2 linked regions of the Rhinolophus ferrumequinum genome follow. The protein of the gene in region 2 interacts with the protein of the main gene of each other region in a pairwise test. Links are inferred from orthologs where the notes say so. Each region holds a gene or a part of one and is shown on either strand. Other genes may lie near its edges. The genes, in order: LRATD2 and UROD.

Evidence for each region.
Region 1: the proteins of UROD (region 2) and LRATD2 interact in binary tests that used the Homo sapiens proteins (3 or more experiments, as listed by UniProt). The two-hybrid records come from large-scale screens. The link is inferred for Rhinolophus ferrumequinum from reciprocal best matches to the Homo sapiens genes UROD and LRATD2.

Annotation. Positions count from the first base shown.
Region 1 is NC_046297.1:62,834,350-62,850,149, forward strand, and holds LRATD2 (protein LRATD2), read right to left. Parts: upstream 7,405-15,800; 5' UTR 6,934-7,404; intron 6,866-6,933; exon of another isoform or gene 6,841-6,865; intron 6,377-6,840; 5' UTR 6,281-6,376; coding exon 5,348-6,280; 3' UTR 1,648-5,347; downstream 1-1,647.
Region 2 is NC_046292.1:31,910,695-31,926,601, forward strand, and holds UROD (uroporphyrinogen decarboxylase), read left to right. Parts: upstream 1-9,514; 5' UTR 9,515-9,650; coding exon 9,651-9,670; intron 9,671-10,321; coding exon 10,322-10,434; intron 10,435-10,551; coding exon 10,552-10,631; intron 10,632-10,707; coding exon 10,708-10,770; intron 10,771-10,987; coding exon 10,988-11,185; intron 11,186-11,310; coding exon 11,311-11,472; intron 11,473-11,852; coding exon 11,853-11,990; intron 11,991-12,145; coding exon 12,146-12,246; intron 12,247-12,328; coding exon 12,329-12,395; intron 12,396-12,736; coding exon 12,737-12,898; 3' UTR 12,899-12,973; downstream 12,974-15,907. Other genes in the region: E3 ubiquitin-protein ligase HECTD3, read right to left, coding at 1-48, 198-269, 396-477, 603-677, 775-904, 1,173-1,379, 2,290-2,379, 2,496-2,615 and 13 more; ZSWIM5 (zinc finger SWIM domain-containing protein 5), read right to left, coding at 15,759-15,907. UniProt on the Homo sapiens protein: Catalyzes the sequential decarboxylation of the four acetate side chains of uroporphyrinogen to form coproporphyrinogen and participates in the fifth step in the heme biosynthetic pathway.

The sequences.
Region 1 (15,800 bases), on a different chromosome or scaffold from region 2:
AACTATGGATCTGGCTTCTCTTTCTATGGTAGGCACTGGGAATATAGGATCCTCCTAGTTAAGTACCCTGTGAATATATTAGTTACATCTATTCTCCATCATCATTTGCACCTTCAGATTTCTCATCTGATTGCTCCAATGGGAGTACTCCAAGTCAACCCACACACATCTGCTTTGTTTTGAATACCTACCAACCATCGGCGTTTATAGGGCCACTTTTTATTATAATCTGTCCTCTATGCAGGAGTGAAATTTGTTTCCCCTTAGAAACAAGCTCAGGGGCAGGGACTGTCTCTCCAGGCTGTTTGTTTTTGACTTCTAGATGTCCCTAGGCTAGGGCTCAGCATCTCTCACCCCTTCATAGATAACTCAGTACCTTGCTGTGACTACAAATGCAGACACTAACCCTTCTTGCATCTACTCTGCAGATGAAATTGCTGTATTTGTTCCATCAGTAGTTTTTTTGTCAGTCAATTCATTCAGGAAAAGGAAACAAAAGCCCTTCTGCCCATAGTCTAGGCTTGTTTACTGTGGAGCTCCTTTTAAATTTTTCCAAATACGTCATTGTCCTTCATTGAGCAAGCTCAGTCCACTTAGGAGAAACGAGAACAGCAGACTACACCCAAATCACCCAAGAATAAAGACACATTCTGGATTAGGCTTCTCTCCCTCTACTTTCTTGTGCAATGAGAACCATGATAAATTAAAGACTCCCACTCTAGGGAAACAATGGTCTCCCTACTCCCTGAGCTCCCTATAACCTTCTGCATTCAACTTTCCTCCTGTTTAAGATTCTCACAGGAATCTGTTGACTAAGCTCAGGCTTTTGAACCTCACAGGACTGTGGTAGCGGCTTCAGGGGTCGGCCTAGGGAGTGCTGATGACCTCCCACATAAGTCTCAGACGCCACAGCTGCTCCTTTATCACTGACAACAGTGCCACGTGATCACATTTGCCCATTTTCTGTAATGAAATTACTCACTGAGCCCATTCCCTTTGTTTGGGACTCGGAAACCACCTAAGATGCAACATGGGTTGCTGATCTTCACCCCAAAACACCCCAGCATAGATTCCAAAATGTGAATGTGCTTTCCAGCAATGCTTGCATTGATTCTGAAAAATCAATGTGTATTCAAAATTTATGTTCATGAGAGTTTTTTTATGAACACTGATAGCCTAGAAGTAATGGGTCATTAATTCTCACATAGTAAAGGCAAGGGAGGGCTTTCAGTCACTAAGTGAATTTATCAAAATGTTTACTAAGGAATGAAAAGATGATACACACTAACTGTGTGTGTGTGTGTGTGTGTGTGTGTGTGTGTGTGTATGTATATATGTAATGTTTGTGTGTGTGTGTGTATGTATATATGTATGTTTGTGTGTGTGTGTGTGTGTATATATATGTGTATATATATATATATATAAACTGCAGGTAAGTTGAATAGCTTGGACTTGGACCAAAAATGGCAGAAAAAGGTATATAAGTGGGGAAAAAAATTATATATATATATATCTGTGTGTGTGTGTGTGTATATATATATAATAAAAATTCAGTTAACACCAATAGATGGTTTATTGGAAACCCTCATAGCATTTCTCAAAAGGACTTGACAGATTTTATTTTAATAAGACATAGTGAAGAGGAAATGGTTTAAAAGATGTCATCAATCTTTTATTTAACTAAGCAATGCCCTTCATTTTGAAGGAAATGATATACAATTTCAAATCAGTATCTCCTTCTCAAGAAGTGGTATAAGAACATAACATTGATTTAACATACAATCTTCAACAAAAATAAAATTTACACAATTCAATGGGAAATAAAATACATGTGTGGAATTTATGTTAGTCAATGTAATTCTCCATGGGTTACAAGTATTATAGCTAAGAACAAAACAACATAATGAAACATTGAATAACCAGTCAAGTTTATAGTTACCCTGATTAAAAAAAAACAATCATAAATAAAATATAACTTTCCAAACAAATCCATTCAGTGACCATGACTAAATTTGATGCTAATTTATAAAAAATGGTTAGACAATCACATAATATCAAGAGTCTTCAACACAGTGGATTCCATTTTGTTAAGAAAAAAATAGAAAACAAGTAGTCCTTAAATTTTCTTCACTCTCCATAGCATATGTAGTATAAAATTAAAGTTTTGCTTCCAAAAATATGTTTCCATGTGGTTGTAGTGTTGTCTAGTAGTGCTATTAGAGTCAGAAGCACCAAAGACATGAGAAGTTTAACCACTGACGTGTCATTTTTCATAAAAACTAATAATTTCCTCAAAGGTCTGGAGTACAGTCTTCTGCTAGGCATTTTAGTGTTATAAAGTTATTTTAAATTAAATGTGGAATAAGAACTACAAAAAGCTGTGTTCTTTCAATACAAAAAGTTGTGTAGCTGAAGTTGAGGGCTCCTTTGACATACATAAGCAGTCTCAATAAAATAGTTGCTCAAGTAAGAAAATAGAATTTGTCTGACTACATTTAGCATACGTTCCGGTCAGGCGTCCTGCCTAGCCCTGCCAGAGCTTCTGAAGAACTTTAGAATTGTTATTTCTTTCCTTCAAAGAACATCCGTAATTCACAGTAAAAAATAATTCTGAAGTCTTAATCCTAAAGAGAAATAAAAATCATTAAATACAAATATATTTTTTAAAGTGCCAGATGTCGCCATTGCCTGGCATTAAAAAGTCACTTATCCACAACACTGCCATCTTGAGGAAAGAGCCAAGAGTTGATTTTGATTCTCTTTTCTTGGCACCTTCACTGGTTGGTTTTTGCTTCACTTGAAGCTTTATAACCCTAAGAAATCTTCCAGTGGAATTTCCTAAGTATTACACATTTCACCTCTCTGGTAACCTGTAAAAACACTGGCTCTACATGGGAAAGCAGTGTTTGCAGTAGACCTATTTCCTCTTCTAGGTCATTCTCAAGCCCAGTTATCAAAAACCACTTCTCTAGAGACAGAATGCTATTGTCGGTATAAATCTTACCGGAGTTCTTCCTTCACATTGAGATTTCTTACAAAAAGCAGTTCATTTGCAACAACAGGTGGCACTGCTATGCCTCTGTGACCATTGACGTTCACTTTCCATTTGAGGGCAAAGAAGGGTGAGAGATGGGAAAGCGGAAAAGAGTTGGCTAGCTAGCCCAGAGCTGCTGGGCAGCGCTGTTTTGCTCTTTTTCCTTCCTGCTGTCTGCACATTGGTCATTACTTTCAATTTTCATTACTGTGTTAAGCATAAGAGAAGATCCAAATCTGTAGGTAGAGTAGGCTCTCCTTAATGTCTTTACCCATGTGTATCTCATTCCACGTTTCTATGAGCAAAAGAAAATAAACACAAGGCGGTGAGATCTATATAAACTAGAGCTACGTGTCCAGCAGGACACTGATGTTTCTCGAAAGTCGCAGACTAGGGCTGAGGATGGTTCATCTTTAACAAACACAACAATAGGACCTCTTTGGTGATCCCGACACAAACAGGAAACATAGCTAATGCCCTTGTAATGAAATAATGTCATGTTGAGGTGCTAGGGAGGCTTTTCAAAAAGGATGGCCTTGCCTCCCAAGTTTGAAAAAAGTGTACGAGAAAATTCTTCAAGTCTTCTTGCCTTTGTTTAGACATTTGTTTAGGCAGGAGGCCCAAGGATGACCATGGCTGTAGAACATTCCAGTGTGATTCTACTCCAACTCTTAAGATTTAGGTCACAAAATGGCGGGTTCAGTGTTATCACTAATGACTCTCGGGAGAAAGAACAACTTCACGCAACTTCTGAGACAGCATGAGCCACGCCGATGAGCAGCTGAGGTGCCTTCTGAGATCGAGGCCCCACAGAATTAAAGAGCTCACGTGAATACAAGAGACAAGTTGTACTTTTTTTTTTTTTTAAAGTCTCCTAGGAAAGCAAATAGAAGCTCAGCAGCACAACCAAATAGTATCAGCAAGCCTGCTGCCAACAGATCCCCACCGTCACTAAACTGTGCCTCAGGACCGTCACCAGACTCAGCACTGACTACACCAGGTGGCACTTGAGATTGCTGTCACCTCTCGTAATTGAGAAAGCATTCCGAACGGGTGTTCTCCGAGCAACAAGGAGACTGCTGCCATGTAACAGGACTTTGCAGCTGGAAGTGTGCCTCAGGTGTGGCTACCAAAATACTTACTGAAATATGCCTCAAGCCTAAGATTTTACCAGCAGCAGAAAAGTGAGAGGGAAGGGGCGGTGAGGAAAAATGAAAATTCACAGGCCCACCACCAAAGTCTTCCATTTGAAAAAGGTTCAGGAATGGAGTTCACTGGGGAGTGGGAGTAATTGACTAATTAATTCCCACCAGGGCAACCCTGTTTGGCTGCTTCTGTAGTGGATACTTTAGGAGTGGCACCTGCCAACCCCATGCAGGACTGCAGATGAACACAACCGATCGGGTTTAATTAGATCAGAGACACAAAGGGCTGGTCCCTCCTTAGATAACAAACAACACAGCTGTAAGTGCCTACAGCAACAGGCAAAAAACACAGGCGGCCAAACAGAACCATCACTGAACCCTTCCCCTAGCTGGTCCATGACAATGATTTACTTGCAACCTGGAAAGTGGCGGATGGAGGAGGAAGCAGGAGACTCAGGTAGAAGCCAGCTCCAGAAGATGAATTACTTGGGGCCAGGGGGGAGGGAGGTAGCAAAGTCTTTGTTTTGTAGCCCAAATTTACTCAACTATTTGTTACACTTCACAGGCGGCTGTTTGCTTTTGGTCTGGTGCTCCCAGACCTGGTCCTGGTTTCTCCAGTCTTGCACCCAGGAATCCCATAAAATAAATCACCCCAGCCTCCAGGATCCCACACACAGCTCCACAGGGGAAGCAGATAAGCAGCTCTCTGTGCTGGCCAGGAGCCTCAATAAACCCACCCTGGCCTAAGTACAGGGCATCCTCCAAACCGAAGGTAGGAGGGAAGCAGGAAGGGGCAATAATGGCAGGCGTTGGTACTTGGAACTTTTTTCCACCCCTGTGTGCATATGAAGAGTCAACTTTGGACCCAGGTCCAGCAGGGATTAGTGTCAGGCGTGTCCACAGTTTGTCCCATCTCAGAAAGGAAGACTGACTGAGGGGGCAGGCAGGAAGTGCCCCCAACCAAAGAGCTCCTACCTGTTCCCTCTTCCTCCTGTCCAAGATAACATGCTCAAGCCACAGATGGCTGCGCATTTCGCCCACTCTAGGTTTTCCAAATGGCCCAGGAGCCCAAATGGGGCCCAGAAGATGGTGGAAGAGGGAGTCAGAGGGAGAGGGCAGCGGCTGCTGCAAACAGCTACCTCTGACAGCTCTGCACTCAGCTCGCGGGTCAATGCACGACCGCCTCTCGGTCCTCTCCATCCTGGCCCCGCGCAGGAGGGCGCTCCAGAGGCGGCGTAGTCCGCGCAGCGTCGCTGTCGCCCTCTTCGGGTTCGGCCGGATGCAGATGCATGGCAAGCTCCTGCAGCACCGCTGCGCGCCCTATCTGGTCGTTGCGCCGTTTCTCCATGATCAGGTCCTCCAGGCTCTGGAACTCGAGCGTGTGGCTGCGCTGTGCAGAGAGCTGGATCTGCAGCCGATAGGGCTGCTTGCCGATGCGCAGCTCGCCGCCGATCTTGAACTCGCGCTTGCCATAGCGGCACCAGGCGGCGAAGCTCTCGGAGTTACGCCAGCTCAGCTCGCGCTCCTTGGCGCCCACGTGCGCTAGCGCGTTGCGCACCACCGCGCTGGGGCTCAGTGGCTTGTAGCGGTACAGATCGTTCACCACGCGGCCGCGCCGGCCCTGGCTGGCGTCCGTCAGGAAGCTGTTGCTCACCTCAAGCCGGTGCAAGTGCACCACCTGGAAGTTGCCCACGTATACAGCCCAGTGCGGGTACTGCGCCTGCGACACGAACTCCACCAGGTCGCCAGGCTTGCACTTGTTGAGCAGGTTCTCTGGTGTGTAGGTGCTCAGAGCCGCGGAGCCCGGCGCGAAGCTTTTCTGGTAGATGCACTCGTCGCGGTAGAACACAGAACACTCCACCTCGTGCAGCCGCGGATCGTAGGGCTGGGGTGGGGGCAATGGCAGCCCGTCCCCACGGTCAGGCAAGCCACTGCCATCCGACCCATGGGGCGGCGGTTGCTGCTCTACGTCCTCGTCGTCATTGGAGAAAATGTAGGAGACCCCAATGCGTGGCCCGTCATCCCGGTCCACGCCCGTTGGGTCGGCGGTGGGAACTTCCTTATAACTTAGGTGGGTCAGTTTCTCCACCTGGTTGCCCATCACGCTGCGGACACACGTTCACAACGCCGAACGGGGAGAAACAGAAAGCACCACTAGGGTCATTGGCACAAGTTCCCGGACAGGGGATGAGACCACCTGTTGGCAGAGGAAGGCAAGGGAGCCATATAGGAGAGTCTCCGCGTAAAGGACGATTTGTTAAGAAGAGGAAGAAAAGATCGGGTGGAGCACCTGGAATCATTCTAAGGGGAGTCTCGGATGTAGTGAGCCTTCCCTCATTTCTCCACCTCTAGGGTCATGGTCACAGGAGGCCGGCAACTCTAGCTCTCCCCCGCCCCCAGCCCTTCATCTCGCTCCGGCAAATGCCCATTGCATCAGCAGCAGCTCCTACCGCTTCCGCCAGCGCCCTACCTGCCAAGCCCAGGCAGGAGAGGGTAAGGAAGAGAAACTTTACTCCAGTCTCCAAATTCCTAACGCCCCTTTCTCCTTAGGGCCCTTAAGTTAGTCCCTGAGACCGACACACCCCACCCCCACCCCGCCTCCTGCCCCGAAGAAACCGGCAAGGATCGCACAGCACGGTCCGAGCAGGTGAGCCACCCTACCTGGCTCACCTGCGGCGCTTTTTCCTCCGGTCTGGTCCCTCCCCCCTCCCCCGCGCGCCGGCCCTCTGGCTCAGGTTACCTGCGCAAACTCACCCGCCAAGAGGTGGAGGCCCTGGGGAACGGGGAGGGGCCCCAGGCCGCACCCTGAGACTTCTAGGGTGACTTTGCAGGTGTGGGCTTTTCAGTTCCTCCTCTCCAGACGTGGGCGGCAGCGAGGCTGGATAGGGGGGAGCGACGCATGTCTTGCCCCCTTGGCTACGTAGAGCCTTCAGACTTGAAGGTGGGAGGCACCTCTTCCCTCCCGCTGAGTCTACTGCTCCCCCTCTACCGGCTCTCGGGGAAGGTAGGAAGCGAAAAGAAGGAGAAGGAAGCAGACTAGCTGCCGGGCGGTCGCAGCTCCCGCTCAGGCTGGACGAGCAACAAGCGCCGGAGCGGGAGGGACGGGATTGTAGATCCGGCTCCGGGCTTCCCGGGCGGGAGTGCAGCCCCTGGCATTTAAAGAGACAGGCGCCCGCTCCCGAAGCCTCGGTCTTTCCCACACGGCGCAGAGCCTCCGGGATCCCCGGCCCGGCCCCGCCCACCCCTACCGCGGGACTCCGCCCAGGCCACGCCCCCACGCTGGAGCGGGTTTAAATCCCGCTGGTAAATAATCTACAGGCCGGCTGGGCTGGCAGTCTGACCGCAGGTGTCAGTCGCGGCCACTGGGGAAACTCGCTTGCCTTCTTAGAGCAAGGGCCTGCTGTGGGGTTCACACCGCTTGCTCAGTTCGCATTTTTCCGAGCTGGGCGCTTTATAAAGTTGGAAGGCAAAAGCTACCTGACAGTATACAAATGAGAGAGGGAGTAAGAGTTTGCTGTTTGTTTTCTTTCTCCTTCGCCTCTTTTTTGCCACAGTACCTGGAGCAGGAGGAACAGTCATTCGGAAACAAACAGACTTATTTTCTTCCCTAGAACTTATTTCTTGCCAATGATCACAGAAGAGATTTTTTTTCTGGGACGGCTCAAGAAGTGCATCCGTTTAGAGGTATTTTCAGAATGAGTGCTGTAGGGAAAAAAAAATCCACAGAAAAAGAAACAGTATAAAACAGAAGGAAGTCTTATTCACTGGCTTTCTTCCAAGAACTGCGCTCTGTTTATTAGATGTCCCTCGAAATGAGCACAAAGTTGATTTCATAACCTCCATTGTTTCGAGTTACTACTTGGTCCCATAGTGAGAGGAAGCATTCAGCTCTGGTTGTTTTTCTTGAGGGCAGGGGAGGTAGGAATTGCCTAATTGTCCTTAAATTAAGAACAAATTAGCAGAGGCCCCTGTTAGATATAGTTCCTTCCTGCTGATTTACAGAAGGAAGTGACAGGGGAGGAGTATTGCTTATTAACCTACACCTCCAGAAGACACTTCCTCCCCTCTCCAGGCTGGTTTCGTTTTTTTGTATCTAAGATGTAGGCTACCAAAGTGTTCTTTCTTTGTGTTTGCAAAACAAACAAACAAACAAACAAAACCACATAGATATGTGTGGAGGTGGAAGTTTGACAATAGACAAGCTAGATGGAATTACGAATGCAACTCAAGACCTCTTTTAACCCTATTTTCCATCACTGTTTCTTTTGACTAAGTTTTTCCAGGTAACACTATTATTTATTCAGTGTGTATACCAATCAGTGGAAACAGAAATGTACTAACACTACTCTGATCCTTTTCAGTTTCAGAAAAACTAAATCAATTCACTGTGTACTTTTGAGCCTGAACAATCAATATTGGCAGAGCTGTGATGGTAGGTGGTCCTTCAGCAAGTCTAAGATCACTGTGTGTTAGACCAAAAGGAGACTTCTGTGTACCTGCTGGGCAGATTAAATTTAAGTTTCATCAGACCAGCCTTAGGAAAGTGTGACCAGATGAGTGCCCCCCCCCAATACCTTTTGATCTTTTGGTAACACATGCTCAGGGAGCTGCTGTTACCCGAATGGTATTTGTCAGTACCCTGTGAACTCATGTAGGTACCCATTTTGCAGGGAGGAGTTAGGCTTAGAAAGGCAAAGGCTAGTCATCCCATGTCTGTTAGACTGGGAGACCTTTGCTGACGTCAGCCACTGGGTAGGTTGGCTAGTGATAGGAGAATCCCTAGAAGGATGTAGTATGACAGTTTGCAGCCTTCACTCTGGGACAAGGATCTACTAAGGAAACCACTGTGAAAAATAATATAAACAGAGCTACTTCAAACTAGAATCAGAGCTGTCATCCCAAAGGGACTGCCTTGCAGTCTTACTCCTCAAACCTTCAGAATGTTAAAACTGGGCAAAATAACCTTTGGACTGGGCCTAAAGCAACACTGTATTCCTAACAACTGTTTGTCATGACTGTTGGACTGAAGGTTACAGACCTTTGTTAGAATCACTATGTTAGCTTATCTGCACCTATGGAAATGCCTGCCTCTATTTATTTAATTGTAGTTGGAGAGGTGGGGAAGCTTTGGGGCTTTAAGTTTGTCAGTCTGGCTGCCCTGTGAAAAACGGACTGTAAAGGGATGAGAGAGGAGGCAGGACCCCATAGAAGGCCAGGCTGTGAGGCAGAAAGGCATTCCACACAGATGGAGCCTAGTGACCAAAGGTCAAAGCCCCGAAGGCACCTTCCCCAAAGACCAGCCACAGTAAAGCCAGTTGGATTTGAATTCTCAGCCATATTGTAACCTTATCCCCTATCAGTGACCCAAGTGTCACAACGCACATACCTCCTCAGAGAAGGCACCCAATCAAAACAAGTTGTGTGGAATGCCAGTCAGTGACTCACACAGTATTCCTGCCCGGGACCGTGGGGAATAATGGAAAATTGACATTTTCTACCTGATGAGACATGGGCACTGAGTGTGCATGTGTGGTAGAGATCTCGGTTTAGATGATTAGCTCCAAGAATGTACAAAACAGGAGCACGAGGGCGGAATTATGTGATTAGGCAATCTGGAACTCTGCCTGTCCCCTGGGCAGGGCCCCAGGCCCATGGCAGCAGCAGATAGCTGGTGAGTTTGCTGGGAAACAGGTTCCTTCATACTTCCCTTAGACTGGGGAACTAGACTTCCCTGCGCCTGTTACCCGCTCCGGGGGTTTTGTCGATACCTGAGGAGGGGTGAGGTGGCAGAATGGAAACAGATGTCCCAGGTAGGAGTCCTGTTTGCGAAGTACATGACCTTGGAGCTGTTTCTCCTCTACCCTGAGCCTCCTTTCCCAGTCTGTAAAGTGGGGCCGTTGATACTTCTTGCCTCACTGTGAATCCTCGAATGAGACAGTATATGCGGGAGCACCTTTGAAATCCTAAAGGCGATGTGGATGCCAAGCACTATTTATACAGCGTGTAAGAGCCACATGACGGTCTTAATGCGGGAGCAAAAGCCTGACCATGTGTTGTGGGCATCCTCTTACTAAATCATACCCATCCTGTTTTTTACATTCCTACCAGTAGGTAAGAATACAAAAGCCCAGCGATGTGAATCTGGCCTGTTCTACGTGGGAGGACCTGGATTCAAATCCCCATCTGCCTGGCTCCATGCTGTGTCACCTTGCGTCAGGATCACCAGCATATGTGTTTGTTCAGCCACTGGCCAGCCTGAGGACCAGGGGCTGGGTTGGAGAGTGACCAACTTGTCCTGGTTTGCCTGGGACTATCCTGGTTTTAGAACTCAAAGTCCTCAGCAAACTGGGACAGCTGGCTGCCCTACCTGGCTGCCTCCCTGTCCTGGTCATTGCCTTCCCTGACCAAGAGTTTCATGGACTCAGAGCTGAGGCCGTTGCCGGGGTGGAACAGAAAAGAAGGGAATAGGAGAGTCAGGTGTTTTTGTCCACATCTCACTCTTACAAGGCCCCCATTTCCGTTTCCAGGTTATACATATAGCAGCAGCTGCATAACCAGGGCCAGCCAATACAAAAGATAATACCTCCCTTATACTGGGAAACCTGCTTCGGGCATTTTTTTTTCCCCCTTTATTAATCGTACTCCTCACGTAAGAGGTGAGGGTTGGGCCGTCTCCCCTTGGAGAGGAACTATCCTGCAGCTGCTTTCTCCACCTTCCCAGCCGGCCTGTCTTGGGCTTGGGCTGTGTTTCTCCTAAACCTTCAGATTAACGAAGGGAGCCCAGGGGCTTCTGAAGTGGCATCCTTTCCTTTGGTCTCTGTATTTTATCTGCTTTTCCCCTCAGATCACCAGAGCAGGCTCTCTCAAGCAGGCTGGGCCAGCGCTAGTCTGACCTATAAGTGAGGGTGACAGAGATGCCCTGAGAAGGGGTCTGAGGCTGTCACCTACCCGACACCATCAGCCCTCCATGCATTCATGTCATGGCTAAATTGTGAGGCAGTTTTGAATCCTTTCCTGGAAGAGGGCTCACCCGTGAGAAAATACCGAGGCCAGTCTCTCCCAGAGGCTTGCTCTTTTAGGAGGCCCCTGACATCATATTGCTGAGGTCGAACCCAAGTTTGATTTGTGCTACTGAGTCTGAGCATGTAGCTAGCGCCTGCAGAAGCCTCATGAAAGATGCATTCTACCAGGCGGTTCCTGGGGAGAGACAGGCTTAAATTACAGCTTGACAAATCCAAATATTGGCATATCTGCAAATCCAGATGTAGGGATTTCAAGAAAAAAATCTAAATTCTAAGAATCTTATTTTGCACTCCTTGTGCAAGAAGGGGAGGATGAGATCGAGAGGAGACAAGGCCACTATAATGGGAGAAGCTTGGGCAGAGCAAATCCAACCTCCTTTTCTTTCCTCGGGCGTTCCTCTTGCTTCCTGGAAGAAGAACTCCCACGTGAGGGAAGAAGACATTTTTTCAGCACAGCTCTCTGCAGGACAGATCAGGCATAGCAACCACCCAGGAATTGGGACACGGGGCTCAACAAATCTGGGTGGTCAATTTGTCTGCTTTCCCCAAACCACTTCTAGGCCTGGGGCCAACGGATCCCCATAGAGCACTCACCCCCTATTGTCTGTTCACCACACAGCAGCCCCAGCAATCCTGTGAGACTGTGAGCCAAGCCAGGTCACTCCTCTGCTCAAATACTCCATGGTTCCCCATCTCCCTTGGAGAAGGCCAAAGGCCCTAAAACAGCCCTCAGGGCCCCGGTCTGCACTCCCGCATTACCTCTCTGACACCCCCTCACTCACACCTCCAGTCTCCCAGGCCCCTTGCTATTCCTCCCCATGGTGAGCATGCTTTTCTCTCTCAGAGCCTTAACATTTGCTGTTCCTTCTGCCCGGAATACTTTTCCCCCAGATAGTTTCATGGCGTGCTCTTAAAGTCTTCACTCAGATGTTAGCTTGTTGGTGAGCCTTCCCTGATAACCCTATTTAAAATCCCAAGTGTCCTCTCGTCCATACACTTAACATCTTTCCCGCTCTATATCCCTATCAATCGATTCATTTACCGCCTTTCAGTATCCCATATAATTTACTAATTTATTGTTGTTTATCATCTCTCCCAATTAGACTATAAGCTCTATGAAATCAGGGATCCTTGTTCATTGAGGTATCCCCAGCTCCTAGAACGGTACTTGACGGTACATGCTAGGCTCGATACATTGTAGTTATATAAAAACACAGAAGGACTTTGCATGAGCCACTTCTGTTCATCCTCACAATAGCTTTATGGTATAGGATTAACTTGCAATTTAAAGCTGGGAAAAGGAATTATAAATTTCATGAAATACCTGTGGTTCGCCAGGCACTGTACTAGGCAGTTGAGTTTCAGAATGGTTAAGAAGGCGGGCCCAGGAACAGCTCAGTTCACCAAGAAATTATTGCTCCACCCTGCCCAACATGGTAGCTGCTAGTCACGTGTGGCTGTCGAACACCTGAACTGTAGCTCATCTGAATTGAAATGTCATAAAGGTTAAATGTACACCAATTTCCAAGTCAGTAAAAAAAAGTAAATATCTTAGTCACTTTTTCATATTGATTATATGTTGAAAGTATAATATTTTAGGTCTATGAGTAAAACAAAGTATATTATTAAAGTTAATATCACCTGTACCTATTTCTTTTTCCTTTTTTTAATGTGGCCACTATAAAAATTTGAATTACACGTGCATACGTGTAATTTGCTTTGCATTTGGCTCTTGTAACTCTTTTCATTAAACCTTGCATCTCTGTCTTCAAGGAATATTACTTCTTGGAATGTTGAGGGCAAGAGTTCAGTGACCTCATCTTTCCTATAAGGCTAAGAGCAAAGATATGCAAATGTATCAGCAAGTTCCAAAGATAGGAACATACTTGTTACATACTGGATTTTTTGCCCCCCTAAAAATTTCTATGTTGAAGCCCTAACCCCAAATGTGATGGTATTTGCCGGCAGGGCCTTTAGGACATAGTTAGGTTTAGGTGAGGCCATGAAAGGGAAGTCCCCATGATGGGGTTACCGCCCTTAGAAGAAGAGGAAAAGACACCAGAGCTTCCTTTCTCTGCCTTGTGAGGACACAGTGAGAAGGTGGCCATCTACAAACCAGGAAGAAGCTTCTTACCAGAACCAACCATTGCTGGCACTCTGATCCTGGCCTTGCAGAAGTGTAATAAAACAAAATGTCTGTTGTTTAAGTCACCTAGTCTGTGGTATTTTGTTACGGCAGCCGGAGCTGCCCAAGACAATACCTAAAGACTAAATGTCTCTTCCAAGGACAGTAAATCTCCAGGAAAAGCCAGTGAACGGTTGAAGGGGCCTCCCTGGGTGGTGTGTTTTCAGCACCTCCAGTTTCAAGCTGATAGCCCCCGACACACACTTGAGAGTTGGATCTGTGGACGAGGAATTCCCAGTATAATGGAGGTGGATGAGGCTGACAGAGCAGGACACCCACCATGAAGGTTATCGAGCATGTTCTTCTTCCCTCTACTCCCTGTTAACTCGTCAGCCTTCTGAGAGGCATTTGGCTTCTCAGATAGACATGCTTATAAAAAAGACGGATTGACCTGATGGTTACACTTCCTTTCGTCAGTCAGTAAGCTGGAGAGCTGGTTTTCCTCATCTTGACTCTATGGGCTGGGTCTGTCCACTTTCAGTGGATTGACCGAGTCGAGTTTTTGAGACTTCCAGCTTGAGGATCACACCTCAGATGACAGAATGCATGAAAGTGGTAATAACACAAATACATACGATGGTAGCAGTTAACATACGTGGACTGTTGACTGTATCAAACATCATTCCAAGAGCTTTGTATGTGCTCACTCTTCTAATCCTCACCAATGGAGTGGGCGTTATTATTATCCTCATTTTACGGATGAGAAAGCAGAGGAATCGTAAATGTAAACATCTTCCCTGTGGCCACACAGCTAGTGATTTGCAGAGCCAAGAGTCAAATATAAGATCATGCCAGGGCGTCGCGGTCACCTCTTGCCGTCCATCTTGCCCAGACAGTAACCAATATGGCTGAGTTCCTTTGTATTCACACCCCACATTCCTTTTGGGCCCATCCAGGTGTGATGAAGCCATCACCTATCACCTTTGCATTCATTCATAAGTCTGCCTCTTCACCACCCTTCTGGCCCCTCTCCTCCCAGTTTCCCATGGCCCACTATGCCCCAGCCACAGCAGTCCTTGGTTCCCTGTCCACACCAAGCTCAGGATTGCCTCAGGTCTTGGCATGAGGGTTCCCTGGGCCTGAATGTTTTGCATCCCACTCTTCACAAACCTAAATTCTTTGCATTGTTAATGCCTTCCATTAAGTCAAATCCTTAGAGAGGGATCTGCGAACTACAACTAGCTGGCTCGCCACCTCCCACGTCCTCAGCCTGTTGGTTTCCTGCAGAACACTCGCTGCCATCGATAGTGACTGTATTTGCTTCTGTACTCATTTTTACCTGTCTCTCCAGGAGCCCAGACTTTGATGTATCACTGTTCTACCCCATTGTCCAGTGCAGCGTCCTGCACACATCAGATGCTTAACAAATATGTACTGAGTAAATGGATCCTTCTTTGTATTAGCCCAATATTCTCATTCCGTAAGGGTCAAGAGAAACACTTCTTCAAAAACTGATTTTGACTTTCAATATGACCTTAGTTCACAAAACCAAGGTGTTAAGTGAAAGCAGGAGGAGGCTGATGAAATAGAATGGATCAAGGAGAAGAAATAGAAAAAAAAGAAGAAGAAGGAGAAGGAGAAGAAGAAGAAAACAATAAGGGTCTATTAAGGGGAACAAATATCAAGAAAGGGTTTTGTTACCGTTCGTAGCATCGGGGGTTGATTTCCAGTTTGTCCAATGAATTCACCTGACCGGACTGCGCGAGAGAAAGATGGGATGGAGTTCTCCCTTTCTTCCATGGTGAGATGTACCTTTGGTCCAGCCCTGTCCTGGTCCCTGTAGCCGGGGCTGAATGTCCACCACTGCCGTGAGGCAGTCACCCCTGTGCCTGGCAGTCCAGTCCCAGGAATCCTTGAATACCTACTTTATGTCACTCATGGTTCTCACTTGCTATCCAAAGGGACTAAAACCCAGTCTTGCCCTGTGCATGCTCATGCCCCATCACACCAACTGGCATCTACTGATCAACTTAGTACATATCTAGTAAGTATCTTTGAAGTAATGGATTAATGAGTGCCTCGTATTAGGCCTTTTCCTTAAGAGTCCTAAGAGTAGTCGGAGATGTCAGACAAGGGATATGTAGAGACGGAGCCAAAATTATAGGCATATAAGCTGAGCTTACCTAGCTTTTGCAAACTGAACAGCCACTCTGTGCATAGCTGTTATAGGAGAGGAACAATAGTTTTGCTCTGCCTATCTTATGTTCTTTATCTGTGGCCCTCAAATGACAAGACAGATGAACAAGAGAAAAAGAAAGGGAAGTTTATGAACATGTGCATCCCGTGTACATACATGGGAGCACTCTGTGATGAGTAGATCAAAGGGGTGGCTTGAACTTGGCCTTATATGGCATTTTAGCAAACAACAAAAATTTTGTAGAGAAATGATGAGGCAAGAAAAAGGATTTTGAGCT
Region 2 (15,907 bases):
ACACAGTTGTACGCTGCATAGCGGAGCTTCTCCTCGCACACCTTGGCGCTGTGAGGGGTGAGGCAGCAGGGAGTTGGTCAGTGCGCCAGGTGTGGAGGCCCTTCCATCACTACCAGGGGTGATAAGGCTACAATTTGTGCACTGCAGCACTTCATCCACCCTCCGATGCCACCCCCTCACCTGTTCCTGAAACCCACCTGGCATAGTGAGGCAGGAAGAGGGTGCTGGAGCAGGTGGAAGACTCAGGCAGTGCATCTGTGGTCTCGTAGCTGGAGGCATGGAGGGGCCACAGATCAGGAAGAATCGTAGGGGCACAGGGTAGGGGTCTGACGTGTATATGTGTGTGGGGAGAGCAGAAGACCGGTCACAGCCCTTCGGACCTCCTCCACACTCACCCCAGCTTGTCCGGGTAGATGTAGATTCGTGCAGGCAGACGGCTGCGGCCTGTGACAAAGCGTAGGAAACGGCTCCGGTCCTCTGGATGGAGGAGAAGGAAATCAATGCCCCCACTGGTGGTGGGGGAGGTTCGACCACTTCCAGGCTGCCTCTGTATCCCACAAGTGAAGTCAAACCCAGGCATTACTCTGCCCTCTTCCACTGACCATTGGTGAAGTTATTCAGCGCCTCCCAGAAATACTGAACCCGTGTGTCAGATGGCTCGAAGTCCTCAAACCGGGCTGGTGGGGATAGGGACAAGGCCAGAATTCATTCTCGCATCCTGATAGACACAGCTTTAAGCCACCCCAGTGCCCCGCTGCCCTGCCTCACACTCACTGAGCTTGCGCAGAGCATCCACAGTGACCTCAGGGTCCCCGCACACCTTCTTTTCTAACTCTTGCCAAGTCAGCAAGTCCAGCACAGCCTGCGGCACCACCTTCAGCAGACCTGCCTGCATGGCTGCCACCTGGGGAGGAAGGAAAAGGCCTGGCTGAGGAAGAGGGCAAAACTAGTGTGTGGTGGGGCCATTTGGCCTCTACTTGTGGAGATAATGGGGGACATGGTCTTTGCTCAGCACTGGGGGTATCTGTGTACCCCACTGATAGGCAGGAATATAGGGCAAGGGATGGTGGGGACCAGAGTTCTTGGGATTGGGTACTGGTAGCCTATAAGGCTGGGCTCTGGCTATGAGGAGCTGGCCAAAGCTGTCTGTCCTTCTGGCCTCTGGGCAGTACCTGCTCTCTGCTCTCCTCTAGCCGTGCCTTCTGCACCAGTTGGATGAAACGGGAACGGTCTTCATAGCCCACCACAATGCCTGTACCCCCGGGGATCAGCTCTACCACCTGCTGGTCACTCAGTACAGTGGTGAATGTTAGCTCCTTCCCAAATTTGAACTCAAATGTTTCCTTGTCCATTCCTTCCATCACTTCCAGGAGCTTCACCTAGGGGTTGGTGAGAGACAGGAAGGTCAGCTTTTCATAGTGGAAACAGTCCTTGTTTTTCCTCAAGATGCTCACAGGGAAGCAGGAGAGACAGCCAGGTACGGCAGTTCCCACGCAGGCCATGAGGGAAGTGAGGGGGTCAGTACAAGGGCTGTGAACGCATCAAAGCAACATGGAACCGAGCTTGGAGGCCAGGGAAGGCGTCCTGGAGGAAATGGCATCTATGCTGAGATCCAAATGATGTCTGGGGGTTGGCTGGGCCACAAGGAAGCCAGGAGAGAGAACATCTTGGAAAAAGGTGGAAACCGTAAAAGGCCTGAGGAATCTGTTTGGCTTGAACCTGAACATGAACTAAGTGCTCATGGGTCATGTATGGCCTTTTCGGATTCTGTATTTTATCCTAATCCTAGGGCGGAGCCATCGAAGGGTTTAAATGAGGAGAGTAAAATGAATTACTCTGGTTGCTGGAGATCAGATGGGTAAGAATAGAGACAGGGATACTAGCATTTGTAGTTAGTGGTTGGGTCACAAAGGAAGGTGGCCTGAACCAGTAGTGAGATGGGAGTTGTGACAGAATGTGGGAGGTGAGGGAGGAGTGAGGGATGAACCTTGGCAGGGGGAGGGTGGGTAATGGTGCCATTCTGAGACAGGGCAGTAGGATAGGGAGGTGAAGCGTATGCTGAGCTTCAGGTGCCGTCATGTGGCACAGGTCCAGCAGGCACATGCATATAGGGCTGGGGCCGGAGGGAAGGATTTACGGGGTCACTAGGATAGAGACAATAGTTGAAACCGTGGGAGTAGATGGGACTGGAGAGGGATCATGTGTGTGGTAAGAGAAGGTTCAGGACAGACTTGGGGAACAGCAACCTTCAGGGACCGAGCAGAGGACACGGCTCCAAGCCCTACTCACCAGCACAGAGTCCACAGCTGGGAAGTCCTTGCTCCAGCTCACCTCCTCACCAGAGAGCTGCTTCCACACAAAACCAGGCAGAGCCAGGACCTGTGGGACAAATCCTCACTACTGTCTGCTGACCCTGAGCTGCCCACGTTTGGCTGGCTCTTCTTCCTTCCAGGGGCCAGGGCTGACCTGATGGGGTGTAGAGTTAGGCTACTCACCAGGAACTCCTTACCCCGAAGGGCAGCCCCCATCAGCTGTCCAATCCACTCGTATTTGGCGAAGTCTCGGCAGGAGGGGTTGGGCACATACATGTCCCGGGCCTCACCTGTGCCATTGCCCTGCCCCCGAGACAGAGCTGTCAGCATGGCATGGGATGGACCATACTTTGTTGCCTGAGATTCCCCAAAACTTTCCTGAACATCTTCCACTGGGAACCCTGAATGATCCCTCTGTAGGTATAATGGCTCCTCCCTCCCTGGCTGCCCAGAAGCTGCCCAGGCAACTCAGTCCCTATTCTGCCCCCTCTAGCTCAGCCTGGTACCTGGGAGGTTTGCAGAGACAGAACAGTAGAAGTAACTTGGGAGGTAGAGGTGGGAGATTACCTGGTTGGCCGTGCGCACAAAGAAGGGCAGAGGCACAGGGGTGTCTGCTGAGCTAGGGCACAGCTCTTCTGACATGTCTGCCAGGCTATCCCGGAAACCACCCCCTGAAATGACAGATCGATGCCCTCAGCAGGGGGAATCTAGAGTCCCAGCCCCCGTAATGGAGGAATAAGCAGGTCCCCTATCTTGGTTAGCTGGTGACCCCAGAAAGCTCCACCACTCTAATTAAGGCAGGACACTTATTATCCCCCCATGGCCTCACCTTGGTCAATGATGCCTTCTGCAATGAATTTACACTCCCACCACTGATCATAGCGCATGGGCCACCTGTAAGTAGGGATGGACCTGTCATTATGCTGGGCCATGTCTTGGGACGTTTCGCCAGCCCAGACACCAGCCAGGAGTAGGGGCTACAGAGCGGTAATGAAGGATGTGTATGTGTACATATCTGCTCTGAGCAATTCCCTCACGCTCATGCCGTACCTGTAGTCCAGAGGCTTTTCATACTTGTCAGAGGGCTTGAGGCCTTCATAAACCTGGGGGCAGGAGACAGGGGAGGGAGTTGTAGAAAAGTCAAGACCTGGCCCCACTCTTGCCCAAAGACCTTGCTCAGGACCCTCTTGGCCCAGCCCCGTAGGCCCCTTACTACCCTCCCTCAGACCAAACCCAGGTAGACCAGACCTGGGTGAAGACCGCATTCTTGGAGGCAGGGTCCCTTAAGGGGCAGGCACGGTGTTCCATGGCAAGGCGCCGGTTGATGTACAAGCGTGGCATGAAGCTGGGCTTGCTGCTTTCTGAGTCACGCAGGCACTGGGCCACCAGGCCTGGCCGCTGGCGTGACAGCAGCAGGAACTGCTTCACTTGCTGATGAGAAAAGGAGGCCAGAGCAGGACCAGCAGGCAGTCAGCCTCTGTCCAGGCCCTGGAACCTTCTTCTACACCTAGACTGAATTCCACCATTCCAGTCCAAGCCTAGCCCATCCCTGTCCTTGCTGCCAATCCCCTAGTCCAGCCACCAGGGGGAGCTTTCTAAAACAAAAACGTCCAACTTGGTCATTACCTTCCTTAAAATCTTTCCTATGGCTCCACTCACCTGGGACAAAGCCCCTGTTTCACAGCCTGGCCCACAGGGCTCTCTGCTACCAGGGACTGCGTCCTTCCCACCCCCTTCCAGCCTCATCCCCATCCACACTCACATCTACCTGTATGCTTCTCTCACCTCTTCTATTGCTGCCTACTAAGTCCCAGTATGTACCTTTTATGCAACCTCTTCGTATCCATGCTGTCACCTCTCCTCCCCTAGCTCTTGTGTATTTCACACACTATCTGGGGAATAGCACCCCAGCAACTAAATTTTGACTGTTTGTGCCTGGCTTTCTTCTTATGTACCTAGAGCCCAGCAAAGGTTCAGGACTTTAGGTTTTAAGAACTCTCTGCTGAAGAGTTAACGACTACATGAGCATAGAGGGGAAAGCTACTGCCAAGTCCAGCACTGGATGGGACAGCTCACCTTAATCTCACTGAAGGTGCCCAGCGTGTGGTCCCAGGCAGGTACCAGGTGGTGCAGGACGCTGTCTAGGATCTTTATGAATCTGGGTAGGTGGTAAAGTAACTGTAGCTAAAGAGTTTAGCATGGATGCAAGACCCCCTCAATCCCAACACACAGGGATAGGAGAAGCCAGGACCAAGGGGCTGCTCTGACTTTTCAATTGGAACAGCTTACAGTATAAGACCTTGGGGACCTCTTCCACATAGACACACAAGGCTCAGAATGGGGGAAGGGAAGGGTCGGGCAGGCCCAGGACCACAGCTACCTCTGCAGGAGAACAGCTCTGCGGTATAGTACTTCCGGGTCAGTGCCTTCCAGGCGAGGATATCGCACCAAACTGGTTGGCTGGAACAGGTCTGCATTCAGCCCTAGTTCCCGCTGTCTAGATGACTTGATCTTGACCCCTCGAAGACGCACATCAATCCCATCATCTGGGGGAAGGAGTCGGAGTGAGGTCACGTACTGTGCCTGCTGCCTCCTTGGCCACCCTTAGACCTGAGAATATCTCCTAAATGCTCAATCTTTTGTCTCCTTTTGCCCCTAGACACGTGGGACCTTTGGGATCACCTTCTACTTACCTGATTCTGATTATTATATCCTTTACTGTCTACCACTGTAATGTTGGAGTGTCTGAGGGTCCCAACTCAGTTCCTCTTCCAGCTGAGCCTAACCAACCACCTCTGTGGCTTTAAGGCCAGTCTATACCCAGCACATTTCACCCAGCTCAGGCCCCACAGCTTCAAATCCTGGAGTTAGTTCAGCTATCACCTTCACCTCAACTCCAAGCCCATCTGCTTCTCTCCACACTCATGGCCAGCTAGTCCCCATCTACACACTGGGCTCCCTTTACCTCCTGATAGCCTTAAGCCCCACCTCGGCACTCGACGATTCGGATCTCAATGATTGGGAGGTGGACAGTCATGTCCTCCAGGACACAGACGTCCCCGATCAGGGTCCTGAAGGAGACAGATGTGTGGCACTTTGGGTACCCTGTGCCTTCAGGGATTGCTGGGGTCTCACCCAACCTTCCAAGACAGGCAAGCCCCACCTCCCACCCAGGCCAGCTTGCTCACTCGTCAATGCTCACGTCACTCAGCTTCTTCAGGTTGTCCCCTTCGCCCCCATAGACCACCACCCGCTTAGGCATAAAGTTGTCATCTGTGGTATCGACTGTGAGTAGCAGCTTCCTGGGGGGCAGAGGATGCACATGGGTCTCTGTACACTCACAGACATGTGGCTCACCTACCCTGTCCCACTCAGAGCCCACTCACTTGACAATGGTGCCCTTTTTCATGGTAAGCCGCACCCAGTGCTGGCACTGCGATCCATCACTCTCCCAATAGGTGTCTGCATTGCTGTCTGTCAGGCAGGACACATTGAACTCCTCCTGGGGAGGGGCAGAAAGGTGGAATCAGTGTTTACCTCCACTCCCTGCACTGGAGGTGTACTTTGGGTCAGGCAGCACAAGAGAGAAAACATCAGAGCTGGGTAAAAAGCGCAGCTGGTATGGGTGGAATTGTCTAGGGGTTCCTATAGGATTTCCAAGATGGGGGGCTGGACTGAGTCTGGCCTATGGGGATTCAGGTTTAGCCGTTGGTCTAGAGGTGAGGGTTCCGGACCTAGCAAGATGTGACTACATCTTCCTTGGGGTGGGAGGAGTCCCAGCACCCACCGTGTAGGAGGAAACGTCTATGCTCTCCACATACTGCTTCACGCTACCCAGGTTCTCATCCTCCTTGCCCAGGTGGTCGTACAAGAAGTGGATCAGGTCCTCGTCGCATTCGTAGGTCCACGTCGGGGGTACATAGCTAAGCAACCCCAAGTCCCTAATTAGGTCGGGCCCAGACCTGGAGCTCCTTCCTCCCCATCCCATCCCAGCTCACTCACAGTAGCCTTTGTACAGCTTCTGTGTATGCCTCAGCGGGCTGAGGCCTCGATCCGAGGCGATGTGAGTATGTCAGATCTACCACCTGTTCCCATCTGTGGGCAGAGAGTGGGGGTGGGATGGGAAGACATCAGTGGGCAGCAAGACAATCCCAAGCTCTGGAACCTTACCCAGAGCTCTATCTCCAAACGGCGCCTCGTGAAGCACCCCCTCACTCCGCCCCCTCACCACTGTTCCCTTCAGGCCCCGCCTCTTCCTGCTCTAAACCCGGCCTTCGCTCCATATCCCACCTCCCAGGCAGTGCCAGACTACTTTCCAACCTCTGGGGGCGAGGCCCAGACAACTGGTAGCAAGCCCTGCCCCTTCAAGTGCAGGACCTGAGCAGTGGGCGGTAATCCACACCGAAGAGCTGCTGTTGCCGCTGGAGGTGGTCGGGAGTGTCGATGGGTACAAGGCGGGCCCCGCCCTCCGCCGGGCGGCATACCAGCAGCCAACCTTCCTCCAGCCCGCAGTCGCCCAGGTGCTCTGCGAGCTGCTCCTGCCGGGACGCGCCAGATGGGGACAGCCGTCAGGAAATTGCCCAGCGGCCCGCCCTGCCCAGCCCAGCCCAAGTCAAAGGACACTGAACGCAATGCCAGCTCAATATGAGAAGGAGGGGAGGGGAACAGCTAGGGGCGTCCCTGGTACCGGGGGTCTTCTGCAGGGCCCAGGGCAGGCCTGGGCGCACCTTGGTCAGCTTCACACAGAGCCCGTGGCCGTTGCACAGCTCCTCGCCCGTGGTGCGTACGCAGGCGCCGCGCCGGAGCTCGATGCTGTCGCGGGCCGCGCGGAGGGGTCCGGAGCCAGTACCCGGGGCCGGGCCCGGGGCTCCCACACGCAGCCCCAGGCCCTCTGCCTCCCACACCGGCAGCAGCACTCGCGACGGGCCCGCCGGATCCTTGTAAAGCTTGTAAAGCACCTCGCGCGGCACGAAAGCCAGCGCCGCCGGCAGCGGCCGTCCGGCGCGGAGGTTCTGCGCTGCCTCCGCCAGGAAGCGTATTCGGCCCAGCAGCTGCCGCGGGGACTCTAGGGCCGCGCCGGGGCCCGGGCCTGCCATGTCGAAGTGTCAGAAGGAAGACTACTGGCGACCCGGCTCTAGGAGAAGCAGCCGTGAAGGCTGGTCGAGCTTCCCACCACGCTACGCCCCGCCTTCGGCCAGCCTTTACCGTAAGTTCTGGGCTAAGTGCACCCCACGCTCCCGCCGTATTGCCCTGTGTACTCGGATACTCATCTATATTACCTACCCCTGTGCCTCCCACTCGGCCAACCAGATCCAAGTCCAGTAGTTTCTACCTGATCAACTTACTCCTCCTTGTCTATTCCTATTTCTATTACCATTTTATTCCCACTGTTACTACCCTCATTCAAGCCGCCATCCTTTCCAGACTGGTTCACTAGAACCTCTATTTTTCTGGTCCTGGCCTCTTGTTTTGCTTCTCCACCAACAAGTCATACTACAACCAGAAAAATCTTTGAAATTTTCTAGACATCCTCTTGGGCTCCCCGTCCTAGGGACCATGTGACTAAAATGTTTGGGGGACTAACCCCCTCCCCAGCCCTGCCACTGACAGAGGAGTTATTAGTCAGTAAGGCTTGAACAGGTAGTTATTCCTGATCCCAGAACACCAGTGATCATTATCCAGTTTCTCCCAGTAATTCTGAACCAGATGAGAGTAAAAGCTAAGAAGGGAGGGGAGGAGGCAAAAAAGGTGGACAGGTGCTGTTGGTGAAGTACAATCATGGAGGAAAAGGAAACTCCCCCCCCCCCGTTTGAAAAATTTTATTGAGATATATTCTTATACCATTCAATTCACCCAAAGTGGACAATTTAATAGTTTTTGATATATTAATTTTAAAAAGTGAGGTAAAATGCATACAACAAAATTTGCCATTTTAACTTTTTAAAAAATTTTTAAGGAGGGCGCAGCTCATGGTGGCCCATGTGAGGATCTAACCGGCAACCTTGGTGTCATCAGTACCACGCTCTAACCAACTGAGCTAACTGGCCACCCCCCATTTTAACCAGTTTTAAGTGTACAATTATCTATTTTCAAAACTTTTTTTTAATCACCCAAACAGCAACTCTGTATCCTTTAAGCAGTAACTCCTCATTGCCTCCTTCCCGCTGCCCCCTAGTAAACTCTAATCTACTTTCTGCCTCTATGTATAATTTCCCTATTTTAGGTATTTCATGTAAGCGGAACCACACAATATTTGTCCTTTTGTGTTTGTCTTATTTCACTCAGCATAAGTTGTAGCATGTATCAGAACTTAACTTCTTTTCATGGCTGAACAATATTCCATTGTATGTACATAGAACATTTTGTTTAGTCATCTGTTGATGGACACTTGGATGGAAACTTTGTTTTGATATAGTTTTCAAATAATTGAAGTTATCAAGAAAGAAAGAATAAATGATCCCATGTATTTTTGACAGCGTTCCATTTTTTTCTCTCTAGAAAACTGGGAACCCAGTGCTTCTCTTCCCTTCTTTCCATGCTATTTCTATGCTATCACACTGTTACAGGATAAAGTGAACACATGTACTTCACAAGGGCCTGCATGACCTGAACTCCGTACATCTCCAGCCTCTTTAATTCCACCAGATTGATCTCCTGGTTCCGTAGTAGCCATTTGCTCTTTAGCCTCTTTGTTTTGTGCATACTGTTTCCTCTGCTTGGAACACCCCCACCACTTTCCCCAATTAAGTGGGGAGCCTTTGCTAGTTACTTCTAGCTTTTTCCTCTTAAAACATTTATTGTTGTGATTGCTGATTTCTATTTCTTCAACAGTCTGTAGAGGAAGGGGCTGCCTTGCTCACCATTGTAATTTCCACAACTATTATAGGCTCTTCTATGTCATACAAATATTTAATGATTTTAGTTCCTTATTCAGCTTGGTTCCATACTGCATTGTATGCCTGGCTGGCCAGGCATGAGATTGGATTGTTAGAATCATGGACAGTGGGAGTGAAAGTAAGACTTAGGCCGAGACTTCGGGATTGTTAGGTCATCAGAGGAGGGCAAATTCCTCATGCCATGGTCAGGTGTAGTTAGAGCTAAGTTATTTTTAGGGATGTTTGTTGCTGCGTCGCTACACGGGTCTTTACGGTGAAGTGAGGTAGGGGGTCCTAACGGCAGCAGCTAGGGCAGCCCGGTAGCTGTTGCTGGAGTCTGATCATGTGACTTTCAACATGGCCACCACCTTGGCTCAGTCCAGGAAGGGGCGGAGCCTGGGGAAGGAGTAGGCTAAGATTCAGGTTAAAGTAGGAATTGGCTCGCAGTTACAGACATCTTATCATGGAGGCGAACGGGTTTGGGTGAGTTCTGCGCACTACGCGATGTGGCCAGCGGGGCTTCTGATCTGAGTCTTCCAGCTCAGGGATCTGTCCCTATATCGCCCTTCCCCGTGGAGAGCCCCCAACCTGAACCCCAGAGGCTCGAATTCCGAAAATCCTCTAATCATGGATTCCCGAGACCTTCATCCCAGGGTTCACCTAGCTGGACTGCGTCCCTCAGATCTTCATTTAGGAAGATGCCCCCAGGACTTTCAAATCCTCAACTAGGACCCCTGTTTCGGAACCGTCAACTCTGATCCCTCCGTGACTAACTCCCAGACCCGGAATCAGCCCACTTATATTCTCCCGTTCCTGTTGATTTTCTGGTCCAGAGACCTTGGAACTATCCTTTCTGGGCTTTCTTTCGCCCAGCCCCCAGTCCTTCCAGTGGCTTTGAGCTGGGGGAACCTGGGACTGAATGTAGAGTAGAGGCCCCTGTTGGGGCCCTTCTATCCTTGTGCACCACCTGATAGGCAGAGAGGAGGCAGAACCGGGTGTGGAGCCACAGCGTGGGAGCTGGTCTGGAGAAAGCAGATAACGGCACTGGACTGAATCTGCCTTAAGAACCCGAGCCTTCCATAGTTTACTGACACCTACCCACCCTTCACCCCCATCCCAACCCCCCATCTCCAGACCCCAGCCTTTTCCGGAGCTGAAGAATGACACATTCCTGCGAGCAGCCTGGGGAGAAGACACAGACTACACTCCAGTTTGGTGCATGCGGCAGGCAGGCCGCTACTTACCAGGTCAGGGTCAGGGCCTGGGAGTCTAGGTAAAACTCTGGAAAGAAAAAAGTTTTTGAGGGGCAGTGGAGGGCTCTACAGGTTCCTCAAGGTTGAGATTTGCCTTCCTTCTGTCTACAGAGTTTAGGGAAACTCGGGCTGCCCAGGACTTTTTCAGCACCTGTCGCTCCCCAGAGGCCTGCTGTGAACTGACTCTGCAGGTGAGGGGTCCACAAAAGAGGGAGGGATTTATGCCCCCAGCTCGCTACCTAGCAACCTGTCTTCTATTCCTTATAGCCACTGCGTCGCTTCCCTCTGGATGCTGCCATCATCTTCTCCGACATCCTTGTTGTACCTCAGGTACCCACTCAAACTTGATTCTGGAATGGGTGAAAAAGGGAAAAGACAGTCATGGTTCAAGATGAGCACTTATCCTCACTGGGCAGAGGGAAAAACAGGCTGGAAGAGATGGGGTTTGGCTGAGCTTTATTCTTTTTCTCTTTCCTGGCATGGGCTGAACAGAGCCTTTCCTCCGGAAGTTACAGGTTGGGAACACAGATGTTTTCTCCCCCTCCAGGCGCTGGGCATGGAGGTGACCATGGTGCCTGGCAAAGGGCCCAGCTTCCCAGAGCCATTAAGAGAAGAGCGGGATTTAGAGCGCCTCCGGGATCCAGCCATAGTGGCCTCTCAGCTGGCCTATGTGTTCCAGGCCATCACCCTCACTCGACAAAGGCTGGCTGGGCGTGTGCCACTGATTGGCTTTGCTGGAGCCCCGGTAACGTGGAACAGGGCAGGGATTTGGACATGGGGAAAACACTCTGGCAGGTCTGGTGTAGACAAGGAAGGAAGTGTCAGTCTGGCTTCTACACCTGTGACATTTCTCTTTGTATCCTTTTGTAGTGGACTCTGATGACATACATGGTTGAGGGTGGCAGCTCAAGCACCATGGCTCATGCCAAGCGCTGGCTTTACCAGAGACCAAAGGCCAGTCACCAGCTGCTTCGCATCCTCACTGATGCTCTGGTACCATATCTGGTGGGACAAGTGGCTGCTGGTGCCCAAGTGAGTCCTGAAGGAGAGACAAATGGGCTGGGGTTTAGTGTATAAAGAGGACAGAAGCAACAGAGTTCTCTATACCTGAGAAGGTACGTGTCTTAATGGCAGGCATGAAAGAAGCTTGGCCTGCAGTGATCTGGCTGGAGCAGCTAAGTCCACCCTGACACTGGCGGGGGCTTAATGCTTTGTGTGTTCAAAGACCAAAGCTAGCACTGGGATCTGTAGGAAAAGGCAAAACTCTTTGACTGGAACTGGGTTTTTACAGGCTTAGGCAGTATGAGGGGTTGAAGTCACTTGGGGAAAATTGAGGCACATTCTGGGTGTGGGGCCTGAGATACTTCCTTTTTGTGTGTCATGTATTTCTCTTCACCACCCCCTAACTGTAGGCATTGCAGCTCTTTGAGTCCCACGCAGGGCATCTAGGCCCACAGCTCTTCGGTAAGTTTGCACTGCCCTACATCCGTGATGTTGCCAAGCGAGTGAAGGCCAAGCTGCAGGAGGCAGGCCTGGCACCAGTGCCCATGGTAAGAATGGGGATGGGGGGAGTGAAGGTGTGACTGGAACTTTCAGGATAAGTCCTGTATGGACTGAAATGACCACTGGAGGGCAGCAGAGGTAGGTTAGTGGGCATACTGTAGCAAGGCCCTCTGTAGCCTCAGGGATTTGCCCTTTCCCCCAGATCATCTTTGCTAAGGATGGACATTTTGCCCTGGAGGAGCTGGCCCAGGCTGGCTACGAGGTGGTTGGGCTTGACTGGACAGTGGCCCCAGAGAAAGCCCGGTAAGTAATGGAGGGTGAGGTGGAGCAGGTGCAACTGCTGTTACGTGCAGTCACCAGAAAGTGGCATTGACTCTGCTTCCAGGGAACGTGTGGGGAAGACAGTGACCTTGCAGGGCAACCTGGACCCCTGTGCCCTGTATGCACCTAAGGTAACAACCAGGGTCCCTATATGTGTCTGTGAGTTTGTCTCTGTGCACTCCCATGGCTGTGGGTATGATTGTGTTATATTGTGTTTTTATGTCTGTTTGCCCCTCCACTATACCCCATACACACCATGTGAACTCTAGGAACGCAGGAATTTCTTTTTATTGTTGTTGTTCATTTGTGTTAGTGCCTGGCCCATCCTAGGCATCCAGTAAATTTTTTTGAATTAATGACTGAATGAGTAACAGAGCGGAAGCATGCCTACACGTGTGTGTGCCACCATTGTGTACAGGGAGGACAGAGGCTTGCTGGTCCCCCTATAGCCAGTGCCCTGTTGGTCCCCCAGGAGGAGATCAGGTGGCTGGTGCAGCAGATGCTGGATGACTTTGGGCCACAGCGCTACATTGCCAACCTGGGCCATGGACTTTACCCTGATATGGATCCAGAACATGTGGGGGCCTTTGTGGATGCCGTGCACACATATTCACGTATGCTTCGAAAGAACTGAGCGTACCCCTTCTCCCTCAAGTACCACTAACACAGATGATTGTTTCCAGGGGAATAAAAGTTCCAGAGTCTAGTATGTGGTTTTGTTTGTGAAAGATCTGTGCCCTTATCCACAGTGCCTTCTTAGCCTTTGCTCCTTCCTTGGGGCCTCTTTCTGCATCCTCTCCCACAAGTCATGGAAACTCAGATCGTAATACATACTGTAGAACTTAAGTCAGGGCCCTTACCACCCTCTTTCCCTTAGATCTCCAAGCCCCAGAGTTACATGGGCTTGGGTAGAGCTTCCTAACAGCCGTAGCTGTGACATTTGCAGAGAAATGGGGTCCCCACAGCTTATGAGGCCAAAACAACAGGGTTTGTGTCTGGGGAGGGGAGAATAGATCAGAGAGGGGCACAGAAATGGCTAGAATACTTCATAGAGGCCTGTCAAGGAAAATGGAATCTAGATAAGCAGGGAGAAGCTGAGAGGCCTTCTGCTTTGATACAAAAAGATGGCAAGACATAAAGACTCACAGCTAGGTTGCTTAGGATTAGAACCTTAGACTCGCATCATTGAGGCAAGAAGGCCTCTGAAGCCAAAAGGCCTGTGGTGCCTGCTCAAGGTTGTTCTGCCTTCTTTTTTGAGCACGTCCTCTCATTTTCTCAGGATCTTGGTGTTTCTGCCCATCATCATGGTACCTACTTCCTGGGACAAGGCTCTGAGCTGCCTGTGAGCTCTGGAGAAGGGTCTGGTGTGGCAGGAAATTCTTCATTTGTCATTCCACATCTCCTTAGACCACTAGAAACCCATTGTGCTACAGACCTAACCAGTCAGCAATGGAGAAGAGAGAGAAGAGCCCCATTTATTGAGAACACAATTTCTGATTTTAGAAAAATCTTTTCTGTGATCCATGATTTATTCATAGAAAAGCACTGTGAGTTCACTTGCTAAAAAATGGCAATCGTGATACAGAAATGGGAGTGGCTTCTTTTTTTCTAACCAACCTGTTGGGCTAAGAGGTTGTAAGGGCCCATGGCTGAACAGTAAGACTTCAGTAGCCACAAACAGCAGATACAACTTACTGGTTAGTGTGGAAAGAGGGAGAAAAAAAGGTGACAGTTTGTTAGAAATGAAAATAAAGCAGAGAGGTCTTTCGTTCACACTCTAGCTATACCACCCTTTCCCGATCACACCCACCCCCTACTTGGGAACTAAAACATGAAACAGTAAACACCAAGACACTGGCATCCAAATGACTTCTGAATGCCCTTGCTACCTCCTATAACAATTCCAGGCTGAGCACAGGGTCAGGAAGATAGCAGGAACATCATACACTAGAGGTCAGCCAAGGCTAAGACAGGTTGCCCACTAGGGCTAGAAACTAGTTAGAAAGGGAAAGGCCAAATGCATCCCAGCCCTAGCCTCCAAATCAGCAACCAATGGAACCGTGACAAAGCAGGCAGAGGAAGCTTGAGGTAGAGAGGCAGGGGAGGAAAACAAGTTCAGGGTGAGAAGAAAACGAGCTGAAGGAGCCACTCAAGGTAGAAGGGGACTAGTGCTTACAAGCTTGTTAGGTGAGAGAGAATGGTGAATAAAGGAGACACAGAGATGGGGAATGTGTTTAGCTGGTGAGAGAGACTAAGGAATGGAGAAGAGAGATGGGCCATAAAGAGAAGGGACACATTCATGCAGATCCTCAAACATGAATTCACAGACATACCTACATGTTGAAATACACAGTTACACATATAAAGACAGATCAATGGAGAGCAGGCATACACACAGACACAAACCTGTTTATACATATGACCTCGTGTGCCCAGATACACACAAGGAACACACATATGTAGTCTTACATGTTCACAAATGTGTATACCCTCGCACAGAAACCCACAGTACAGCACACAGACATGTATTCACACAGACACAGATACACATAAATATATGCACACATACAGGCATGCACAGATGTATTTATGCATACAGGCATGTACTTAGCCATAGAGACACACGCACATACATGATTAGAGAGAAAACCAGTCACTCCAAGACAAAGGTGACCAGAATAGATGAATATTATGAGCTCAGTGGCCTCCCAGAACTTGACTTTCTCCCTGCACTTGTTCCTCAGGAGCTCAGCAGGCTCCTAGAGGCTGTGAGGCCGGAGCAAGAGCTTCAGCGTCCTCGTGGCTTTGGGTGGCAAAAGTCTTAAATCCAGTCCTGGCTCTGCCTTCACCCACCTCTGGGCTATAGGTGCCCGTCTGTAGGCTGGGGTTTCTGCATAGACTAGACTTGGGATTTATTCTAACTGGCCATTTTTCTCCCTGCCACCTCCACTCTTCCACTGCCAACAGCTTATACTCTGTAAGGGAAACCTGAGAAATGGTTGTGAGTCTCGTCAGAAAACAAGCCTATCTTCCCACCCACAGCTATTTCAAGTACCCATCAAATTAGAACCAGGATTATAAATAGTTACAACTTTACAATGTAATTGGCAACACATATACTATAATATTTACAGTACCATAAACGCTTCTGTTTCTCTGGTTAAGCAATCCCTGAGACGGAACAGTGTTCTGTATTTGCCAAGGGAGAGATGCCCAGGACACGCAGGATATAGGGGCGTGAGGTGGCATGTTGTAGTGTTTCTGATCGATCTGCAGGGCCCAGCTCCTCCAGGAACAGTGGGCTATAGTGAGAACCTTGCCAAGGCAGGCATATTGGCTAGAGTTGGACTCTCCCCATGCTCAGCCGTGTGGTCCTTTGGCTTCAGCCACAGGTGCTTAGAGTCCTCTCAGGGTGGACAAATATTTCAGTGTCCTTGGCCTGACCTGATGGTACCTGGGAGCCCAGGCTGCCCAGCAGTGAGCTGTCTGCTTTCTCAGCCAAAGCGCTCTCGCACCAGCAGCATCAGCTTCTTCTTGCCTTTGTAGATTTGTTTGAGGTTGTCGATGAACTGGGCAAACTGCAGGTGGCCATCCTGGGGCAGCAGGAAGGTCTCCCGAGCCTTGCTCAGAAACTCAATGAACT